Kluyveromyces lactis: one gene and its partner. The protein of the gene in region 2 interacts with the protein of the main gene of each other region in a pairwise test. Links are inferred from orthologs where the notes say so. Each region holds a gene or a part of one and is shown on either strand. Other genes may lie near its edges.

The links.
Region 1: the proteins of MPS1 (region 2) and BEM1 interact in binary tests that used the Saccharomyces cerevisiae proteins (3 or more experiments, as listed by UniProt). The link is inferred for Kluyveromyces lactis from reciprocal best matches to the Saccharomyces cerevisiae genes MPS1 and BEM1.

Annotation. Positions count from the first base shown.
Region 1 is NC_006041.1:2,076,425-2,080,176, forward strand, and holds BEM1 (phosphatidylinositol-3-phosphate-binding protein BEM1), read right to left. Parts: upstream 2,564-3,752; coding exon 2,555-2,563; intron 2,337-2,554; coding exon 618-2,336; downstream 1-617. Other genes in the region: KLLA0_E23343g (uncharacterized protein), read left to right, coding at 1-338; putative ubiquitin-specific protease UBP16, read right to left, coding at 2,981-3,752.
Region 2 is NC_006039.1:347,682-352,067, reverse strand, and holds MPS1 (serine/threonine/tyrosine protein kinase MPS1), read right to left. Parts: upstream 2,882-4,386; coding exon 500-2,881; downstream 1-499. Other genes in the region: ARP2 (actin-related protein 2), read left to right, coding at 1-296; CRT10 (Crt10p), read right to left, coding at 3,300-4,386. UniProt on the Saccharomyces cerevisiae protein: Involved in mitotic spindle assembly checkpoint signaling, a process that delays anaphase until chromosomes are bioriented on the spindle, and in the repair of incorrect mitotic kinetochore-spindle microtubule attachments.

The DNA.
Region 1 (3,752 bases), on a different chromosome or scaffold from region 2:
ATGTAGTTGAACGCGAATTGAGTGGTTCAAACAAAAATGATAAGATATATGAAAGAATATTCGATCATGTACGACAGTTTAACTCGCAGGTAATAAAATGGTATGACTGGCGATCTGTGGTAGCAAGCTTGTGGGTAAAATGGTACCAACAGCATAGTCCAAAATTAGATGAAGTAGATATGAATGTTGAGACTGCAGCAGATTCCAGAGTTGATCTGGCACCGAATCTCATGCATAGAAATGATGAGTTTGATCACAATGCGGACATGGACATTGACATGGATCTCGATACAGATCCGTACGCGGATGCAGACATGGACATAGAGCTGGATGAATAGTCCTTAGACATGTTTGTGAAGTATTATTATCATTTTGATAGAAGTATTAACACCTATAGAGAGAGTATGTAAACAACTGATTTTTACTTGTTGAACTGAATTAATGTGAAAGAATATAAGAGTGTTAATGTCAAAATTATGTTGAAGTATTACAATGCGATGTACAGTACATCATTATGATAAGCATGAAAGCCATCAGTGGATAGAAATTGAATTTTGACCACCTTGGGGTTCTTTTTGTATTATTTATTATGACGATAAAATTTTGCAACAAATAACTTAGCTGTCATCGACAAAGATCTTGCGTTTCTCTTGAATTAGAACCGGTACTTCTGCATCAGTAGTGACTTGAGTGCCAATATCATCTCCGTTTTTGATGTACAACTTAAAAGAATCTGCGTCAATTCTAGGTGCTATTTTACTGCACAATTCTTCAAAAGTAATGGTAGGATGCAGCATCAAGGCGAATATGTCATCTTTGTAATAAAATTTGATCTTGACAGGCTTTTCATCAGTTATTCTCGGAGCGAAACCACTAGGCGGCCTTGATTTGACTTTAGCACTGGCATTGGAAGCGCTATTAATCAGAGACAGTCTCTTCATTGCCTCTGGAAGTTGTAGTTCTTGGTTAGTCAGAGTTGAATCATCAGCCCTACCTTTTACGTCAAGCTCCACAGTTTCATCATTACTAATCTCACGGTCAAAACCATTATTTTTAACGGCAAACAAACCCTTGACCAGATGTGATTGTGATATATGCGGCGGTAGGGAAATCAAATCCTTCACGTATATATTTAGGTCATCTTTTCTCTTTTTTGAAATGGTATCTGTCACATACGGAACTGGACCCGGTATATATGGCATTATACGTTTCGTCCACTGACCATTAGTGTCTCTTAGTTTACCCCCTTCTGCAGGGAAGATATCGAGTAGCTTTACTTGTAAATCATAGAAATCTTCATAATAACGCTTCAAAATACGCGTGGTGTTGTTGGATAACTGACACGAGACTTGGAACCAATACTTATCGTCCTGTAGGAAAAATGTCTCGACTGCAGCGTAGGTAAGGAAAACGGCATCAGCAGGATAGGTTGTATTGGCAGCGCTCGAGTGCTGCGTGCTGGGGTGTGGTTGACGGTTTTGTGAATTTTGCCTGGATTGTGATCGGTGTTGCACGTACGACTGACCCTGCTGTTCCACTGAACCTAGTGTGATATTGCTAGCCTTGTAACGGGCGATATTGATCTTCCATTCTTGGACCGAGGGTAGATTCACTGATTCGATATCGCTTTTTACATCATTTCCCGTGGCATAACCAGTAGCTATATCTATAATAGTCACAAAACCAACAGGAACTAGACCGGGACCACCCAACCTGCCAATGGGCTTAGCGATAAACCATTCAAAATCGTGATGAGCACAAATGAACAAGTTTTCTCCGGCATAGGCTGTTAACTCATCTGCCTTTTCTGCTTGAAAATCATACAGTACAATTGCATAAAGAGTTCCCATATTGGAAGGTTGTTGTTGCTGCTGTTGCTGCTGTTGCTGCTGATGATGCTGTAATAACTGATTACTACCGACAGATCCATTTCTATTTATACTTTTCACCGGTGATGCATGCGAATTTGGCCTTGTTCTGCCAAAAATCTCGAAATAATTCTTAGGAACCATGCCTCTCTTGCCGTCCGCCGGATTGGAGGCCTCATACCAATCGTTCTCCTCTTGCTGAACATGGAAAAAGTCTCCCTTATTGAATGATAATTCACCGGCTGATTGTGCCTGGTAATTGTATAACGCTTTGATTACTTTTTCTGGAGACGAGATATCTTTTGATTTTCCACTTGTAAACCCCGAAGATAGCTGTGATGATGTAGATAATTGCCTGATAGGAATGGTCTTTACGTTTTGCACTGAGCTCCCTGGACTTTGAGTAGGTCCGGAAATATCCGCAGAAGTTATGCGCTGTTTCACACTGTCTTTCTTCAATTTGAAATTCTATTCCAAAAATTTCCAGAAATTAGATAATTGGTTCAATTTAATCACCAACCAATGATCATAGTATATGTTAGTATTTTGCCTTCACGTTGCAATATTCATGTGGTTACCTTCTTTCAGTAAAGAAAAATTTTCCAGCCTCTAACAAAGTCAGAAATCCTCCGCTACTACGTCAAAATTGCCAAACATAAGACAATACCACGCGCATTATTACATACCTTCAACATTTTCCCACTATTGACTGCCTTTGCCTTTGTGTTGCAGCTTTCGTCTATCAACTCTGTTATTATGAATTCCTGAAACTCGTCTCTTTATTCATGTCAATCCTTTTTCATCTCGCTTCATCAACCCGCAGAAGGAAAGGAAGAATTTCATTCTAGAAGGGTTTTAGAGGTCACATGATCTGAAATTTAAAGATCGTACAGTATATGTATATAAGGTTAACGTAAAAGTGCTAAAACTAATTAATCGAGTAATACATGGCCTGTGGTCATCATAAATCGATGAGTTAATTGACAAAGGATGAATGATTCGGAGCGGTGAGGTGCCGCTTGTGCAATTTAGTAAAATATGTCTATGTTTCTATTTTTTCTTATTCTTTTGGTTGTTGTTATGTTGGTTCCAGTATTTGCTTACTGACCAGGTTAGACTACTGGTACCCTCTCATAGTACAACATATAAACGAATTTAGTTTCTGATAAAATATCTGAAGTTTTATATTCTTTAACTTTAGTATCAGATATTCTCCACCATGGGTATTTCACCACACTTTTCAATTTCTTTAATCTTCTTTTCTTTGTCTTCTTGTTGACATTCATTGAAATACCGTCATAATCTGTTTCAGTTTCCACTTCGGTAGCACTTGTATTAGTAACTTGATCTGTACTGTAAGAGTCGATACTAGCATTACTAGATAATATCGAAGCGTTGCGGTCAGTCGTCATAGAAGAGACACTGTTAAATCTTGCGCGGTTTCTATGTTCTGAAGATGATGAAGCCATGGGTGAACTGCTAATTTCAGGTAGTATATTGCTAGTATTGTTATTATCCGGTGCTGCCGAGACAGAACTCTTTCTCGAAAGGAAACCAGTGACTCTTTTCAAAGTGGATGGCGTCCTTGAAACTCCAGAACCACTGTTGTTGTTTTGGCCCTTATTATCTGCGTCGTTAGAGAACTCTGAGCTTCCAATAACGTAATCATCATCAGTAACAATCGCAGAGTTTGGTGAGTCCAGGAAAACAGATCTGAATGGCACGTTAGAGGAGATTGAATCTTCCGAGCCGATTGAACAAGAATCGGATTTGTTAGAGGAGTTCAGAACGGCCTGATTCCAGATTTCAGCTGCAAGTTTATTCGACGCAATACCGAAGTCCACCATTGGTGTCTTGCTAATGACTTGATGTGTATCAATGTCT
Region 2 (4,386 bases):
CATCACTTTATAAAGCTATCGTCTTGTCTGGTGGTTCATCCATGTACCCAGGTTTACCTTCAAGGTTGGAAAAAGAACTAAAACAACTATGGTTTACAAGGGTTCTACGCAATGATCCCACACGTTTGGATAAATTCAAGGTCAGAATTGAGGACCCACCAAGAAGAAAGCATATGGTGTTCATTGGTGGTGCCGTCTTAGCGAACATTATGGCCGATAAAGACCACATGTGGTTATCGAAGCAAGAATGGCATGAAATAGGTCCTGCTGCAATGTCAAAGTTTGGACCAAGATAAATGAATGATTAAAACTCTTATATAATAGTACATTTGTATTACGTAGGTAAACTTATTAATGCACCCATAGGTTCATTTGCTGGCTTCTTATGGGAGCACAGCATTCATATGTTGCTTCTTTATTCAATGCAGGAAAAAAAGCCATAAAGACGGCATGTCAGAAGTGCTTTATCCCAGTACTGCCCTCAGTGCAATAGATTAATCTATAATTTAAATTCAGCTAGTTTGTTCCAAACATCTTCAGATAATTCTTCCACACGCTCATTATTGACATGTTTTTGATCGCAACCATAGTTTACTGCATTTTTTATCAAATCATGTATGAAGAATTTTGTTACGGTGACAGGATTAATTAATGCACCACTTAATAGCTGGTCAATTGTAACACGAGATATGGGATTTCTTTCCAAACATGATCTTATAGTGTCAATAACAGTTCTTGGTATCACTGTACCGAAAGAGTCTTTTTCAGGATAAGGAATCTTAACATCAGGATTCATGATCGCATATAACCTATTGTTTCCCTGGAACGTACCATAAGGCGGTTTTCCGTACACCATTTGGTAGAGGATACATCCACAGGACCAAACATCTGATGGTTTACCCACTTTCCATTTGGCTTGTTCACCATCATTCCTTGTGAAGTTCATTGCAACCAAAGTCTCGGGAGCCATATAATTGGGAGTTCCGATCTGGTTGTCTCGATAAATATTTACAGTGTGATCGGGAACCGCATTCGCAATCCCAAAATCAATTATCTTTAACATTCCCTTGACGAAAACAAAATTTGCGGGTTTCAAATCAGAATGGACAATATCAGCATCGTGAACCACCTTCACACATTTTATCATTTCTTGAAAGTGATATCTGACAAATTCCGTATCAAATGGTATTTTGGATCTCTGAGTCAATACTTGGGATAGATCATGTTCACCACATTCCATTAGGAGAAATAAGACACCTTGTCCCATATGATAGTCAATTAACTTAACAACTCGCTGCTTGTTTTCTAGTTTCTTTAGAAGCTCTATTTCCCCTTTGAAGCCATCAATACTGGACTCATCAAATTCATCGAAAGACACGCGTTTCAACGCGTATACCTTGTGATCAGAAGATTTCACTTTGTAAACTTTACCCGATCCACCTTTGCCGAGTAGTTCCACCTTTTCATATGCGGTACCGTTCACTGTGATCGTTGGAACAGCATACGAGGTTCTCTTCTTTGTATCAAAGGAGCCATTATAGTTCAGATAATTATCCCCCTTGTTCAGTTTTGATGAAACATCGCAACCCTCGGACTTCAAAGGAATAACTTCAACAGTGGATTTCGGAGGTTCCACTATCTCGACCTTTTTAAAGGGTTTCGAATCATGTGGCGATGGTGCCTTCCTATGGGAGAAAAAAGGAGGTCGATAATCCTCGGGTACATGATCATTTTCGTACTTTGGTCGCTTAGCTTCTTGACTGCTAGATGGATTATTGACATCTAATGGTTTCAGCGCTTCGCGTTTGTTAGCTAGTTCACGATCTACCTCCTGGAATACCAGCTGATTTTTCTGCAATGGAGAAGAAAGCGGATCCTGTAACGACGTTTTATCTGTGCCAAAGTTGTGTTTTCTCCGTGGTTGCCGAGCTGTTTGAGTTCTCCTATATTGAGTGAATTCCCTCTTTAACGCCAGCGTTCCAGAGGTGGCCTTTCTCAACACGGTTTTTCTATTCTCTTCCTTTTGCCTTTCAAAATATACTTTCGAGATGTACGGAAGCTCACCACTGGGAAGATTATACTTCTTTAGGTACTGGTATGGGTTGAGATCACCAAAATCTATATTCTCATAGTTGATGTTAGGTTGCAGATTGGCGGAAGGGTCCTTGTTCTCATCGTGGCTGGGTGTTGAATGTTGTCTGTGAGTCTCTAGAAAAATGTTATGGTCATGGTACCTGTAACCTGTATTAGAACTATTAGAGGTATGCGAATTTTCAATATCTTGCTGGGAAATGTTAGATGTATCATTTATTATGCTACTGTTGATTTGACTATTATCAACCCTGGATTCACTAGGGGAATCCACATTGAAACTTGTAGAAAGGTTACGTTTGGCAGGTCCTAGTGAGGACAGTCGGGAAGTGATAAACCTTCTATTTCGTTTGTTTGATGATTTGGTTGTACTGTTATATAGCTCCTCTTTCATACTCTGTTGCAGTACTTTGAACTTTTGAGAAGTATGACTGTGAGTGTCGTCTTTCATCAGTGACTCCTCGTTCAGTTTATTATATTTGTTGTCATGGTTGCTATTTGAATTCGAAATATCATTATCTTCTTTGACCACGGTATTCATTGTTGTCATGCTTGGTTGGAATTGTTTATTCACCATTGTGAAAACTGTTGATTGAGATTGATCTTCTGTGTGATTCGAGGTATGTGTAGTGTTCCGTCCATTGAAATGCCTAACAAAATGCAAAGGGTTCGAGTGAGTAGGTTCTTCTAATCCTGTTTTAGCATCTTGATATCGACTATACTCATGTTGGCTTTCTGCTGTAGGAAATGACGACTGGTTAAGTCGTACAACTCCATCAGATCCAAGCATCAAATAAGAAAGTGTATTGAGGCTAAGGAAAGGGAGCTGCCTTTAAGTTTAGATGGTATCGTTGCAGCAAAAGTATCCACACACTGTAAGAGTATTGATGTACCTTATGATGAATTAACCAATATACTTAGCACAGTACCTACAGCTGATGTTTAGCTCCTAACGGTTGAAATAATTAAAAGAGATTAGTTTGTTTATACTTCGAGAAAGCTTTGGCTTTTCTGGGTAAACAGCACAAAAACAAACAAAAAAGTGCGGTGCACGGATGGAGCAATAAGAACCTTAATCTTCAAGTGAACACCGGTCGACAATTTTCGAAAGGATAATGAGATGGTTAGGCATACTCATATGCTTTCATTTGTTTCAGAGTGGATACTACATCTATTAAAGCTTGTATACACAATGCTATAGCCAGCACTTATCTGGAGAAGTCATTGGGGGAAATTTCGTATACTACCAGACAGGCTGTGGTACAAACATATAATAATACCGCATTAGTTTCGGGCATATGTATGTAATCCATACTTTGAACCATTGGGTACTTGATAACAAGTCTACATTCGTTGCAAGTGTGATGGAAGTCTGAGTTATTTTGTGTGAATCTTCTGTTAGTTTCACAAAACGTCGATCTCTCTTCGTCATCACTATCGTCACATATATCCTGAATTCGAAGGATATTTAAAATCTTCTCAAATCTGAAAGCATAAATGCCACGCCACTCGGTTAATCGATAAAGAAACATTAGTCCAGAGCCATTTGCAACCACAATGCAATTTATTTCGCGTAAGTGACAAACCATTATTTTGTTGCTTGAGAGATCAACACAGTTGAAATTCAAGGGAAATATCGGCCTAGTAAATGCATTCATGATAATTGGATCTGTTCCAAGCAAACTGGTCTCAAAAGTCGAAGTAGCCTCAAATATGAAATTACTTCCTGATGTCTTTGAAAAAAACTTTGGACCATCGTTATTAAATCTTGATTCATCGCAAATCCGAAGATATTTAATTATCGATTTATCCACGTATTCATCAACAGCATCTTTATCAATGCGATTCAGTATAGGGATATCTAGTTGTCTAGCGGTGAAACAATCTTTAATATTAGAAGGAGAAAATTCTCCACTTTTCAATTCTGAGGATTTAATTTGAGTAAATTTCCAGGTCTTGTGGAAGTAGATACGTCTCAATAAATCAGCTGAGCACTCAATATTGTCTATAAACTGGAGATCAAAACAAGGATACCCTTTCCTTTCGATTCTTAAAGTTTCTACTTGATCTTGTAAAGATAGAAATTTATCCTTGTAGTCTTTACAGAAGTCGAGCTCCGCATCCGAAACAATCTCCCAACCAATTCTTGTCTGTCGTACGTCAGACCGGTCAGAGGTTACGTGCACCTTACCGACTTTAGAATCACCATAACCATGTGATCGTTTGGATATATAGCAATCAGGATCCTGTGAAAATGATTCGTTGAGTACCTTTTTATTAACATATACCTCGTGG